Nothobranchius furzeri: one gene and its partners. The protein of the gene in region 2 interacts with the protein of the main gene of each other region in a biochemical or structural test. Links are inferred from orthologs where the notes say so. Each region holds a gene or a part of one and is shown on either strand. Other genes may lie near its edges. The genes, in order: mpp1, abcc4 and pdzk1.

Region 1 (3,650 bases), on a different chromosome or scaffold from region 2:
TTTTATCCCAGGTGTGGCTCATCAGGAGGATTCAGTTCAGCTGTGCTCCTCAGCAGCCTGGAAGAGAGGAGGAGGAGGGGCGGTGTCCAGTCAATCACCAGAGCTGGGTGATCCTGGCTGCTTTTTCCCCTCTTCAGGCTGGCAGCCGTGACAACGCAACAAAAAATCACTACGCGCAAAAACAAATTCACTAAATGCACCAAAAAATCACTAAGCGCATAAACAAATTCACTAAATGCACCAAAAAATCACTAAACGCACAACAAATTGAAAAGCACAACAAAAAATTGAAAAGCACAACAACAAATTCACTAAACACAAAACCAAATTGAAAACCACAAAAACAAAAAACAAACCGGAAAAGGTAGGTACCAATGCTGCAACAACAGGCATCACTGATTGGATGATGGATCCGTTGGCCTTTTGAATCGGAAGTTGTTCTGCCGAACGTGGTTATGTGAAAGAGCAGTCAGCGGGTGTGTCCGAATCCACAGGCCGGGTCCTTGCCAGACCGCTAAGCGATTTGTTTTTGCGCTTTTCAATTTGTGTTTGCGTTAAGTGATTTGTTTTTGTGGTTTGCACTTCAGGGCCACCGTAGCCTTGATCTACGGTCGCCATGTCATTGGTGGAGCGCTGCAACAGCCGGCTTATGTATATGCATGAGATCCACAAGGCACTTTGCATTGACTATTTATGGCAGTAAGTGGGCGTGGTGAGGGTGGGATGTGACTAAAAAGCAGCTGAGAACCTTTCTAGATAGTTTCTGATTTATGAAGCGGAGATTGCGTGCAGCTGTGCGTTCTCCATGTTTGATAGATCACAAACCTACTTGGCGTAAGTACATTTGTTTTGCTGAGCTTAAGTACAGTTTTAGTAAGGATTCTACGCAATGTTTGATAAATGAGACCCCAGGTCTTTTCTCGTAAACAGGTTCAAGTCTAAGTCAAGTCCCAAGTCACTGGTATATAAAAAACAAGTCTTTAAACATTTTTCAAGTCAAGTCTAAAATCATCAAATCTGTGACTCAAATCTGACTCGAGTCCAAGTTACATGACTCAAGTCCAAGTTACGCGAATCAAGTCCAAGTCACGTGACTCCAGTCCACAGTTCTGAGGCAAAGCATTCAGAATCTGAGCAAATCTGAGTCAGGAGGGCGAGAAACTAAGAAATTTCCCCAAAATTCCTGAGTTCTCAACTGAAGTGAACTCGCACATGTCCTTTGATTATTACATAATCAATAGATATATAAATAAGTAAGTAAAACATGCATTTTACTTCCCATTAGAGCATATATCTGAGGAAGACATAGAGACACTTATATCCATCCCTTGCTGCAGGATTTTCTATAAATTCTAAGTAAAAAAAAAAGTCAGAAATCTGTTGCATTAATTTTCTTGCGGGGATCCCAGCCATTGAGGAATGTGGTTGTAGTAATTCACCTGTGGGTGGAGTATGCATGTTCCATAATCTGTGACAGTTTAGGAATGTTTTGTATTAAAATTAAATTCTAATAATCAATGAGACTGAAGTCTACATTTGTCAAACCAATTCATGCTTTTATTATTCATTATGAAACAGTTTTAGTGTTCTGCAAGAAGCTGTCATGATCATTTGGCATTATGCTCTACCCGTGGGTGATTTTAACTTTTGTCTTTGATAGAATCCAAATAACAAGGAAATGTCTGAAGTCTGTATTAGACTACTTTATTTCCTAAAGGTGGTATTTGTGCAGAAACGATTAAATATTCTTATTACACAAAATATTTAGTATCTCTGCTCCACATGTCCTGATCCTTATCCACAGACATACATGAGAGCTCAGTTTGATTATGACCCAACCAAGGATGACCTCATCCCATGCAAAGAGGCTGGCCTAAAGTTTCAAACTGGAGACATCATCCACATTATTAACAAGCAGGATCCAAACTGGTGGCAGGGCAGAGTGGAGAGCAGCGGTGTGGACTTTGCTGGACTGATACCTTCCCCAGAGCTCCAAGAGTGGTAGAGATACGCATCATTTCTGATTAGTGGTCCTGCAGAGCTGAAGATGCATATACAACTTCATGTGCCTGTTTCTTTGCAGGAGAGTGGCCAGTAAAAGCAAGGCCAAGGAGGGAAGTCAGTCCTGCAGCCCGTTTGGAAAGAAGAAGAAGTGCAAGGACAAATATCTCGCTAAGCACAGCTCAAGTGAGAGGATTACTGGACCCAAGTTTACACCCCAGTGCAAGTTTATCTAAACATGATCATTTGTCTGCAGTTTTTGACCAACTGGATGTGATTTCCTATGAAGAGGTGGTGAGGCTCCCTGCTTTTAAAAGAAAAACTCTGGTGCTTATCGGTAAGCTGTCTTTCTCAGGGACATAAGAGGAAACTTGCTTCATCGCAAATTGAATGAATGAGCTCTTAACTTTGCTCTTCTCAGGAGCACCTGGTGTGGGAAGGAGCCATATCAAAAATGCACTGTTGATGAGATACCCTGAGAAATTTTCCTACCCTGCACCACGTAAGTAGGATGTTTTTGTTCTTACAGCGAAGCTAGGTTTGCAAAAATCTTCATTTCAAACACTGAATTTGCACAGACACAACCAGACCCCAGCGGAAGGACGAGGAGAACGGACATGAATATTACTTCATGTCCAATGAAGACATGACCAAGTGCATCTCCAAAAACGAGCTGCTGGAGTACGGAAGCTTCCAGGGATACATGTTCGGTACCAAATTCGAGACCATCCAAAAGATCCACGATCAAGACAAGATTGCTGTGCTGGATGTGGAACCACAGGTCAGAACGGACAAACAGAAACACTATGCTCACATTTTTGACTTTGTAATGGACACTTCTGGAATATTTAGTGCCCAGGGTGTAATTGATTTGTTTGTAAATCTTCCTACAGACCTTAAAACTTGTGCGGACAGCTGATTTCGCCCCCCTGGTGGTGTTTATAGCTCCCACCAACACCGCCACACAGGTGCCACAACATCACACGATAAACACCTTTTTTTAAAAACATCTAAATCAACGAGCCAATAGCTAAACTTCCTGTTTCCTCTCTCTTAGACGGAAAACCTTCAGATGATCCAGAAAGAGTCGGACGCCATCCTGGGCACGTACGGACACTTCTTTGACGTGGTTCTTGTCAACAACGACGTGGATGAGAGCGTTAAAGGGGTAGAGGAGGCCATGGAGCACGCCACCTCCACCCCCCAATGGGTGCCTGTGTCGTGGGTGTACTAAAGAATGCCAGTATCACTCCAAACGCCAAAACCTCTGAGTCAGCAGCGTCCCAGGTGTTTTCCTTTTGGATGTTGTCACTGAGATTTTATTGCACAAATGCAGTTTAAAGAAAAAAAGCAATATTTAGAAAGCTTTATGACAGAAGGCTGAGATGTTTCACCAGGTGGTTTAAACATTTTTGGAGGCTAGGAGCTAGCTTTTGGTGCCACATACCTTAAGAATATTCTGAAATGCAAAACAGGACCATGACTGTGAAATAAATCGCCATTAGATTTTCATTGTCTCTGGTTTTCCCATTTGTCATTACATTAGCTATGGCGAGGACTAGGATTCTGACACTTGTTGCTCATGCTGTCTGTGTAACTTCACCTTACAATCAACCACTGACCGGGTCCTTAAAGGCACTTTTCACCTA
Region 2 (3,650 bases):
GCAGGCTAACAACTTCAGCTAATAGGAATAACTAGGGATGTAAGAAAATGTCGATTATGGCAATATATCGTGATATTTTCCCCAGCGATATTATATCGATATTAAAAAGCTGTGTATCAAAAATATCGATATCGCAATATATCGTGATATTTTTTCTTGCAAAAATGTATCGATATTCAAAAGTCGCATATCTAATTTTTGGAAGAATTTACATGGAAACATTTGTGTATTTTCTTTTCTTGTGGTGCAATTCAAACGCCGACCACTAGTTGGCAGCAGTGTGTAATGGGTTTTGTTTCCACCATTGAAATGTAAATCCCTCTGTTATGGTTAAACATGTTAAGTATCAGTTTGGACTGTTTATTGAATTTTCCTATAATAAATTTAGTCTAAAAGAAAATCGCCAATATCGTCTGACTGAATGTATCGCAATATATCGTGATATATTGTATCGTCTCCCCTGTATCGTAATACGTATTGTATCGCCAGAATTTCACCAATACACATCCCTAGGAATAACTATGCCTTCTTGCGAGAGGATCTCTACAAAATCATTTTCCTTTTCCCTCTTCCGTTTTCTGTTTTGTGCCCCAGAGAGCTTTTTTTTCAGTCTGTCCATCTCTAGCTAACCTAGCTAGCTGATCAGAAGACAGTAGATATCATTCAAATGAAAACAATCGTGCCCTAGTGCGTTTTCGCGGGCGCACGCGCTGAACTCGTCAAGAGTGTTCATGTTCTGAGTGTGTGTGTGTGTGTGTGTGTGTGTGTGTAGGGCGGGGGTGTGGAGCAGGGCTGCGGAGGGGCGCCCAATTGCTTGCTGCACAAATGGCTATGAAACACAAAGATGCCCTTTTCCCCCATTGTTGCTTAGGCGCCCCCACCAGCGCGGCGCCCCTATGCGTCGCATACACTGCATACCCACTTTTTGCGCCACTGCGTCTGCTCTGTGAGCTCCTTCAGTTCTGCTGATCAGTGACTCCTACTCCATTACTCAGGCCTGACGGCTGCCACCATCCTGTTTGGCTTCATGAGGAACCTTCTGCTGTTCGGCGTGTTGGTGAGAGGAGCTCAGACGCTCCACGACCGGATGTTCAGCTGCATCCTCAGAACTCCCGTCCGCTTCTTCGACATCAATCCCATCGGTAAGTCGAGCTCAGGTCTGGAGACGCCGGGAGGATACGGCCCCCGCTAACGTTCCGTCTCACTGCAGGAAGAGTCCTCAACAGGTTCTCCAAGGACATCGGGCAGCTGGACTCTATGATGCCGTGGACGTTTACGGACTTTGTCCAGGTGGGGACACACAGAACCTGTCGTGGTTTAGAACTCTGAGAATCGTGACGAAACGATATTTAAGACTTTAGAGTTTTTGTGTCGAGGAACAAGATCCTGGACGCGTTTGACCTCGTTCGTCCCTCTGAGCAGGTCTTCCTCCAGATTCTCGGCGTGATCGCCGTGGCGTCCTCTGTGATCCCGTGGATTCTGATCCCTGTTGTCCCGCTCCTCGGAGTGTTCCTGTTCCTGCGACGTTACTACCTGAGAACCTCCAGAGATGTCAAACGTCTGGAGTCCACCAGTGAGCGTCCCCTGAGTGGGTTCAGAGTCCAGATTTAAGCTGTTCCGGCGTCTCAAATGTCTCTTTGTCCCACAGCTCGGAGTCCTGTCTTCTCCCACCTGTCCTCGTCTCTTCAGGGCCTGTGGACGATACGAGCGTTCTGCGCTGAGAAGAGGTTCCAGAAAGCCTTTGACGCCCACCAGGACCTTCACTCAGGTCCCCCCTCCCCTCAGATCTCAGACTCTGGTCCGTTTGTCCCGTCTGTGTTCTGACTCTCTGGTTCTGAACAGAGGCCTGGTTCCTGTTCCTGACCACCTCCCGCTGGTTCGCCTTTCGCCTCGACATCATGTGCTCCATCTTCGTCACCATCACCGTGTTTGGCTGCCTGCTGCTGCGAGACCGTAAGGATCCCTAGTTTCTGCTGTGGGCCACTAGGGGGAGCCAGAGTCTCTGAGCAGAGTTGTGTTTTCAGAGTTGGACGCCGGTTCTGTCGGGCTGGCGCTGAGCTACGCCGTCACGCTGATGGGGATGTTCCAGTGGGGCGTCAGGCAGAGTGCAGAGGTGGAGAACATGGTGAGAACCTTCAGACGCGCCGGTAGAACTCCTCAGACGTTCGGAGGCTGTAAGCTGTTTCTGCTTGCAGATGACCTCGGTGGAGCGGGTGGTGGAGTACACGCAGCTGGAGAGTGAAGCTCCCTGGGAAACGCACAAGCGCCCTCCTCCAGGCTGGCCCACCAAAGGCCTGGTGACCTTTGACCGGGTCAGCTTCTCCTACAGCCCAGACGGGCCGCCGGTGCTGCAGAACCTGCAGGCCACATTCAAACCCAAAGAGAAGGTTGGACATGCTTGTTTGTGGAGAACAGCTGGTCCCAGAGGTTGGACAGAACCTGATGTTCTCCGTTTGTCAGGTGGGCATCGTTGGGAGAACCGGAGCCGGGAAAAGCTCCCTGATCTCGGCTCTGTTCCGCCTGGCAGAACCTCAGGGGAAGATCTACATCGACGGAGTGGTGACGTCTGAGATCGGACTCCACGACCTGCGGCAGAAGATGTCCATCATTCCTCAGGTCCGCAGGAGGAGGAACGAGTCCAACGGTAGAACGTGAGACTAAAGAACCACTTAGATGAAACATAGCTCTTGTGTTTGTGTCCCAGGACCCGGTTCTGTTCACGGGCTCCATGAGGAAGAACCTGGACCCGTTCAACCAACACTCAGATGAAGAGCTGTGGAACGCCCTGCAGGAGGTCCGAGGCAGCCCGGTTCTGCTTTTGTTTGTAAACTAAAGGATGTGTCTCTGTAAAGGTTCCGAATACTCGTCTCACAGACGCGTTCGAGCATCAGCTGAGAGTAAAATGGCGGCTTTAGGGTCTAATCAAAGTTCTCAGAGCTTCTGGGTTTGGGACGGGTCGGTCGGTGTGGACCAGCACGGGTCCGCAGTTTCAGGAGATCGCTTCGGTTTGGCAGGCGGGGTGAACGTACCGTCGTGCGATTTCATAAATGAGTTGTGCAGCTTACCAACGGGCTCCACGTGTGACCCGGCCCGCCTCGGTTTGTCGGTCTGTGCCCAGGGGTGGACTGGCCCATCTGGCATTCTGGCACTGTCCCGGTGGGCCAGCTTGGGCCGACACTACTCCACAGCTGGTGATCTGCAGAACATTAGCTACATGCTAACCCGAAGCTAACAGAGTTTTTCCAGGTGCTATTAGCAAGAAAAACGCGGTAGAGCGATGACGTAGGAGCTGTTTCACTGCGTTAGCATGTAGCTAATGTCCCAAGCGGTACCAAAAATGATTTTTTCAAAAGATCTGACCAAAGAGGAGATTTGTGATTTCGCCATTTTAAACACTCCACGACAAAATCACTCCCACATCACGTGTGTTTACACTCGCTTGGTTTTACCACCTCTTTAGCCCCATTCCAGGAATCGTCGGGGAGGAGGAACTACGATGGCTCGGCCCTCTCCTTATAAAATCGACCCTTTCAGGACTTTCAGACGTCAGCAGCACATCACGACTGCTTCAGCACTGAGTGATGTCACTGATCAGCGCCAGAAGGCGTCCACGGACATTAGTAACACTGTTGAAGTTCGATGTGAATTAA
Region 3 (4,353 bases), about 33 Mb from region 2:
ATCAGGATTCTGAAGCTTTGCCAACATCTCTGGACATAAACTCTAGCAGGCTGTTGTTCTGTCTAACCTTACTGGCATGTAAATCCTGCAAAAAAGTCAAGTTAGCCACATTTAGTTTGATTGTAGGAAGCAAAAAAATAAAAAAATAAAATAAAATCACAAGCATTCTTCTAAAGATCTGAGTGCTAAACAGTACTGACAGGAACCCAGGAACTGATCATGACCATTTACTTTGTTACTGCTCAATGCAAAAAGGAGTAAAATGCCTAATTTAACAGTTTTCCCTTGTAAATTTGAAAGAGACACTTTTGACTGTGTGCAGTTTGTGCTGCACTTCTTACAGCATAGAACAGGAGGCTGTAATGTGATCCACATTCTTGCAGGCTGTCCGGAACCTGGATAATGGATGCCCTTGCATCTTTCCACCATCAGCGACTAATTTCTATCAATGTGCCTTAATGCTTCTAGTGGTAATGCCCTATTAAGGGCAGCAGTGTGCCAAAAAAATAAAGAAAATGTGCCAACTCAAAGGTTTTCTGACAGAAATCAATGCACTGAATATGATTTAGAGCTTATAACAGAATCAGTGTTTTTCCAACATGCATAAGAAGTTTATTTTTTTAGAATCATTTGATATTTTACTAAAGCAGAATCAAAATGAAAATAAAAGTTTCCATCTAGTTTAGAAAAAAATGTCCTATATCAGCCACAAATAAGGTAAAGACAGATGATTATTTCCTTCATGATTCATTTAATTTAATTTGTAATTTTAGTTATTGCTTACCTTTATTTTAAAATATTTGAGATGCTATTATGAAGTCCCCTAGTGTCCAAGTCCTCATGCTTGCTCCTAGAATTTGACATTTATGACACGTTTCTGTAAAAACACACCTTTGTCCAGTCCATATGACAGCAGTACAAGACCTTCATACCTACAGCTACAGTAACAATAAACAATACACCCACGTTTACTGGGAACATCATAAAAAACCTTGTAGACGGAGTACGTACATGACAAACTACAATAAAACCTCTGTGAAATAAATCCTCGTTCTCTTCACTGAGTGCTAGAGATTATCTAAATCAAACTAATAAAAGTAATAAAAAATAAATAAACCACACATGAAAATATAATAAAAAATATCCATATTGAATTTAATTGGACATTTATTTTTGCTAAATGTTGTTTTTCCACAACATAAACTTTCATAAATCAGATACTAAGTATGTTTTCTTAATCTTAATGGCTGATGGCCTCTTCTGTGTGTTTTATTCATGAATTTTAGATAAATAAACATAAACAGGATGCAGTCTTGTGGATTCTGACTATGATGTGTGAACATGGCTGTTCAGCAGCCACCTGCTGCAAACTTTGAAAAATAAATAGATGACTGCTCGCACTCGACAGACTGCAAAGAGCCTCAGACACTCATGACACAAGACGTTGTTAAATAACTCTTTAGGCTGAACTTTGACCTGTCAAAGTCCCTTAGGGAGGTGGGGAGGGGGGAGTGCAGGTTTAAGATGCCATAACAGCTAATCAGTGACAGGTGAGCTCCCCCTTTAGACGCAGACACTCAACAGAGGAGAGTCGGTGAGTGAAATGTTTATTTTACTCTTTATTTTTTATTGTTATACTTTTTTTTAAATAAATTTGGGGAAATTTTAAGATTCATAAAGGTTTCCTGTGGAGATTAAAGAACACGTTTAATCATTTGCTGGAAAACCTCTGATACTTTAACAGGTGAAAAAATATCAACAAGTTAAAAACGGTGTTATCACTGTTTGTTGCTTTGGGTTTATTGATATTATTTTCCAATTTTTAAGTATTGAACAGAATAATCTACTTCTTTGGGGCTCTTAATATTAAACTAGCTTTATATTTTGGTGAAAAAGCTGTTAAAATCAAATCTAATACGACGTAAACTTTATAACCACATTACAAATATGTACCGCTTTTAAATAACTATTAAACTTTTAATAGTTGTATCAATACTTCAGCTGTAAGCACAAGTAAAAAAAACAAGATTAATAAAGTCAAATGAAGCATACAGCTAAACATTTCTTTTATAAGGATAAAATAAATATTACACCTTTTTAACTCTAAGATAAAGGTCATAACTCTATTTTAAGTTGTTATTAGTGTGTTTTTAATTATTTAATTGCCTAAATTATACATTGAAATAGTTAAAACTAATTAAAATACATTTTGTATTTAATACATCATGAAAACAAACCCAAAGTTTTTATTAATTTACAAATTTCTTAAACGTTGCAATGAATCTCGTTTAAGACATGAGTGTTTGCGTTTTTAATATAAGCACACCTGCCTTTTATAGCATCCCGCTGAGAGTTAAACCCACAACCCTTAATTTGGATTCAAAGTCCAGTGATTTTTATTTCACTGTCAGCTGTGTGTCCTGCAAATCATTACATGCCTGTTGTCATGGAAGAGTAACTTTTCATCCTCTATCAGCACTTCTGTCACGTCTTTATGTGCTGAAGTATCCACTCTGATAAATATGCTTAATGCGTAGCACAATAGATTACAAGGTGAACTAATTTATGATCGTCAACAAATGTAAAGGGGAAAAACAGCTGTTTAAGTTCGATTGCATTTTCCAATCTCAAAGCTCTAAAACCAAAATAAGTCTAAGGCTTAACTGGCTTGGTCAAATTTATTGACACTTTAAAGGTGTGGAACACTCAGTTAATCAATGCATCGGCAATGATCTCTAGCAGAAAGAAATGGATTCTAATTTATGATGCTCCTGTTTCAGCACAGAGAAGTAAGCTGAAGGAGAAAGTAGCTTCAGACAACAAGATTAGTAGTTTTATTTCCTGATATTTGGTCATCTTGCATTGGATTGGCTAACAGCAACGTGACAAAAGTTAACGTTTTATCTCCACAAATAACTCAACCCTGAAGGAGTTCTGCTGTGTGGTGGAGTTGCTAATGCTAACTAGATTCCACTAGCCAAGACGTTCTCTGCTGATTCCTGGATGCTAAACCAACAACAGCCTTCCCCATCACGAGTCAAGATGGGTGAATCCATGCATGGATATAAATTTTGGTGTGTGTGTGTGGTTGGGGGGGGGGGGGGGGGGGGCATGTCACCCCCCCCCCCCCCACACACACACACACCCCACACCCACGCACACTTTTGCCAAAGTCATGTTTTGACCCCTGCACTTTTTATCGTCCAAAAACAATATTACTCTATATTAAGTAGACACTGGTTGAGCTCTAGGACCAAGTGGAAAACAACTGTTTGTGTTGAAGCCTGTTTCCCATTAGAACATACTGAAAAGATTCCCGCTGGTCCTCGGTTGTCCCCCCACCCCTTACGCCTAAGACTTAACTATATATATATATATATATATATATATATATATATATATATATATATATATATATATATATGTGTGTGTGTGTGTGTGTGTGTGTGTGTGTGTGTGTGTGTGTGTGTGTGTGTGTGCAATACAAGGGAGACGATATGATTTACTGTGAAGTTAAAAGCTGACAATATTTGCAGATGTTAAAACAGTTTTATTTGAAAACTGAGGCCAAATGCTTCCAAGACACATTCAGTATTATTGTGAGATCTCGCTGGTTTGTCAGAATGAAGGCAGTAAAAGCTGCTGCCACCTAGCGGCCGGAGTTTGAATTGCACCACACAAAAGAAGTACAATACATACAGAATATTGCGATATTACATTGTCTCAACATTTTCTTGCATCTCTGTTAAGTACCGTTTATTATTTCTTTGTTCATGTTAGGACAATGGCCACGTACACGCCAAGGGTGATCTCCCTGGCCAAGAGGCCTGGTCAGACATTTGGCTTCTTTCTGAGGGTGGAGCAAAGTAAGGAGGGCCACCTGATTCGCTGCCTGGAAATGGGAGGTCCAGCTGAACTGGCTGGTATGAAAGATGGAGACCGCATCCTTCGGGTCAATGGAAAATTTGTCGATGGGCTTACCCATTCAGAGGTGAGCAGAATGTAGATACACAGCAGATCCAATCACCAGCAGTGAATTTCCATGGTGTCCCTCTACTAGGTGGTGGAGCTGGTGAGAAACAGTGGAGCATCTGTCACATTCCACATTCTGGATGAATCGTCTTACAATCAAGCAAAAACACTCGGAGTGAACCTCTCCGACCCTCAAAGCTCACCCATTGCCAACGGATTGGCTAAAGAAGATTGGAAGCCCAAACTCTGCTACCTGGTCAAATCTAAGTCAGGATTTGGGTTTTCCATTAGCTCATTTAAAGGTAAGGTACATTTGTAAAGGGTTAAAGAAAATCTACAATTCTCAAGATTGCAACTTAAAGTCTAAGTCAATGTTAGCAG

Evidence for each region.
Region 1: the proteins of abcc4 (region 2) and mpp1 form a complex in vitro, tested with the Homo sapiens proteins (2 studies listed by BioGRID and IntAct, with this or other methods). The link is inferred for Nothobranchius furzeri from reciprocal best matches to the Homo sapiens genes ABCC4 and MPP1.
Region 3: the proteins of abcc4 (region 2) and pdzk1 form a complex in vitro, tested with the Homo sapiens proteins (2 studies listed by BioGRID and IntAct, with this or other methods). The link is inferred for Nothobranchius furzeri from reciprocal best matches to the Homo sapiens genes ABCC4 and PDZK1.

What each region holds. Positions count from the first base shown.
Region 1 is NC_091750.1:51,669,173-51,672,822, reverse strand, and holds part of mpp1 (55 kDa erythrocyte membrane protein), read left to right. Parts: intron 1-1,804; coding exon 1,805-2,001; intron 2,002-2,083; coding exon 2,084-2,187; intron 2,188-2,257; coding exon 2,258-2,338; intron 2,339-2,422; coding exon 2,423-2,503; intron 2,504-2,579; coding exon 2,580-2,782; intron 2,783-2,894; coding exon 2,895-2,969; intron 2,970-3,058; coding exon 3,059-3,235; 3' UTR 3,236-3,650. UniProt on the Homo sapiens protein: Essential regulator of neutrophil polarity. Regulates neutrophil polarization by regulating AKT1 phosphorylation through a mechanism that is independent of PIK3CG activity.
Region 2 is NC_091754.1:57,277,884-57,281,533, forward strand, and holds part of abcc4 (ATP-binding cassette sub-family C member 4), read left to right. Parts: intron 1-995; coding exon 996-1,142; intron 1,143-1,210; coding exon 1,211-1,290; intron 1,291-1,422; coding exon 1,423-1,573; intron 1,574-1,648; coding exon 1,649-1,768; intron 1,769-1,842; coding exon 1,843-1,953; intron 1,954-2,024; coding exon 2,025-2,125; intron 2,126-2,195; coding exon 2,196-2,387; intron 2,388-2,460; coding exon 2,461-2,616; exon of another isoform or gene 2,617-2,651; intron 2,652-2,704; coding exon 2,705-2,794; intron 2,795-3,650. UniProt on the Homo sapiens protein: ATP-dependent transporter of the ATP-binding cassette (ABC) family that actively extrudes physiological compounds and xenobiotics from cells.
Region 3 is NC_091754.1:24,604,855-24,609,207, reverse strand, and holds the start of pdzk1 (Na(+)/H(+) exchange regulatory cofactor NHE-RF3), read left to right. Parts: upstream 1-1,503; 5' UTR 1,504-1,594; intron 1,595-3,780; 5' UTR 3,781-3,784; coding exon 3,785-3,991; intron 3,992-4,060; coding exon 4,061-4,274; intron 4,275-4,353. UniProt on the Homo sapiens protein: A scaffold protein that connects plasma membrane proteins and regulatory components, regulating their surface expression in epithelial cells apical domains.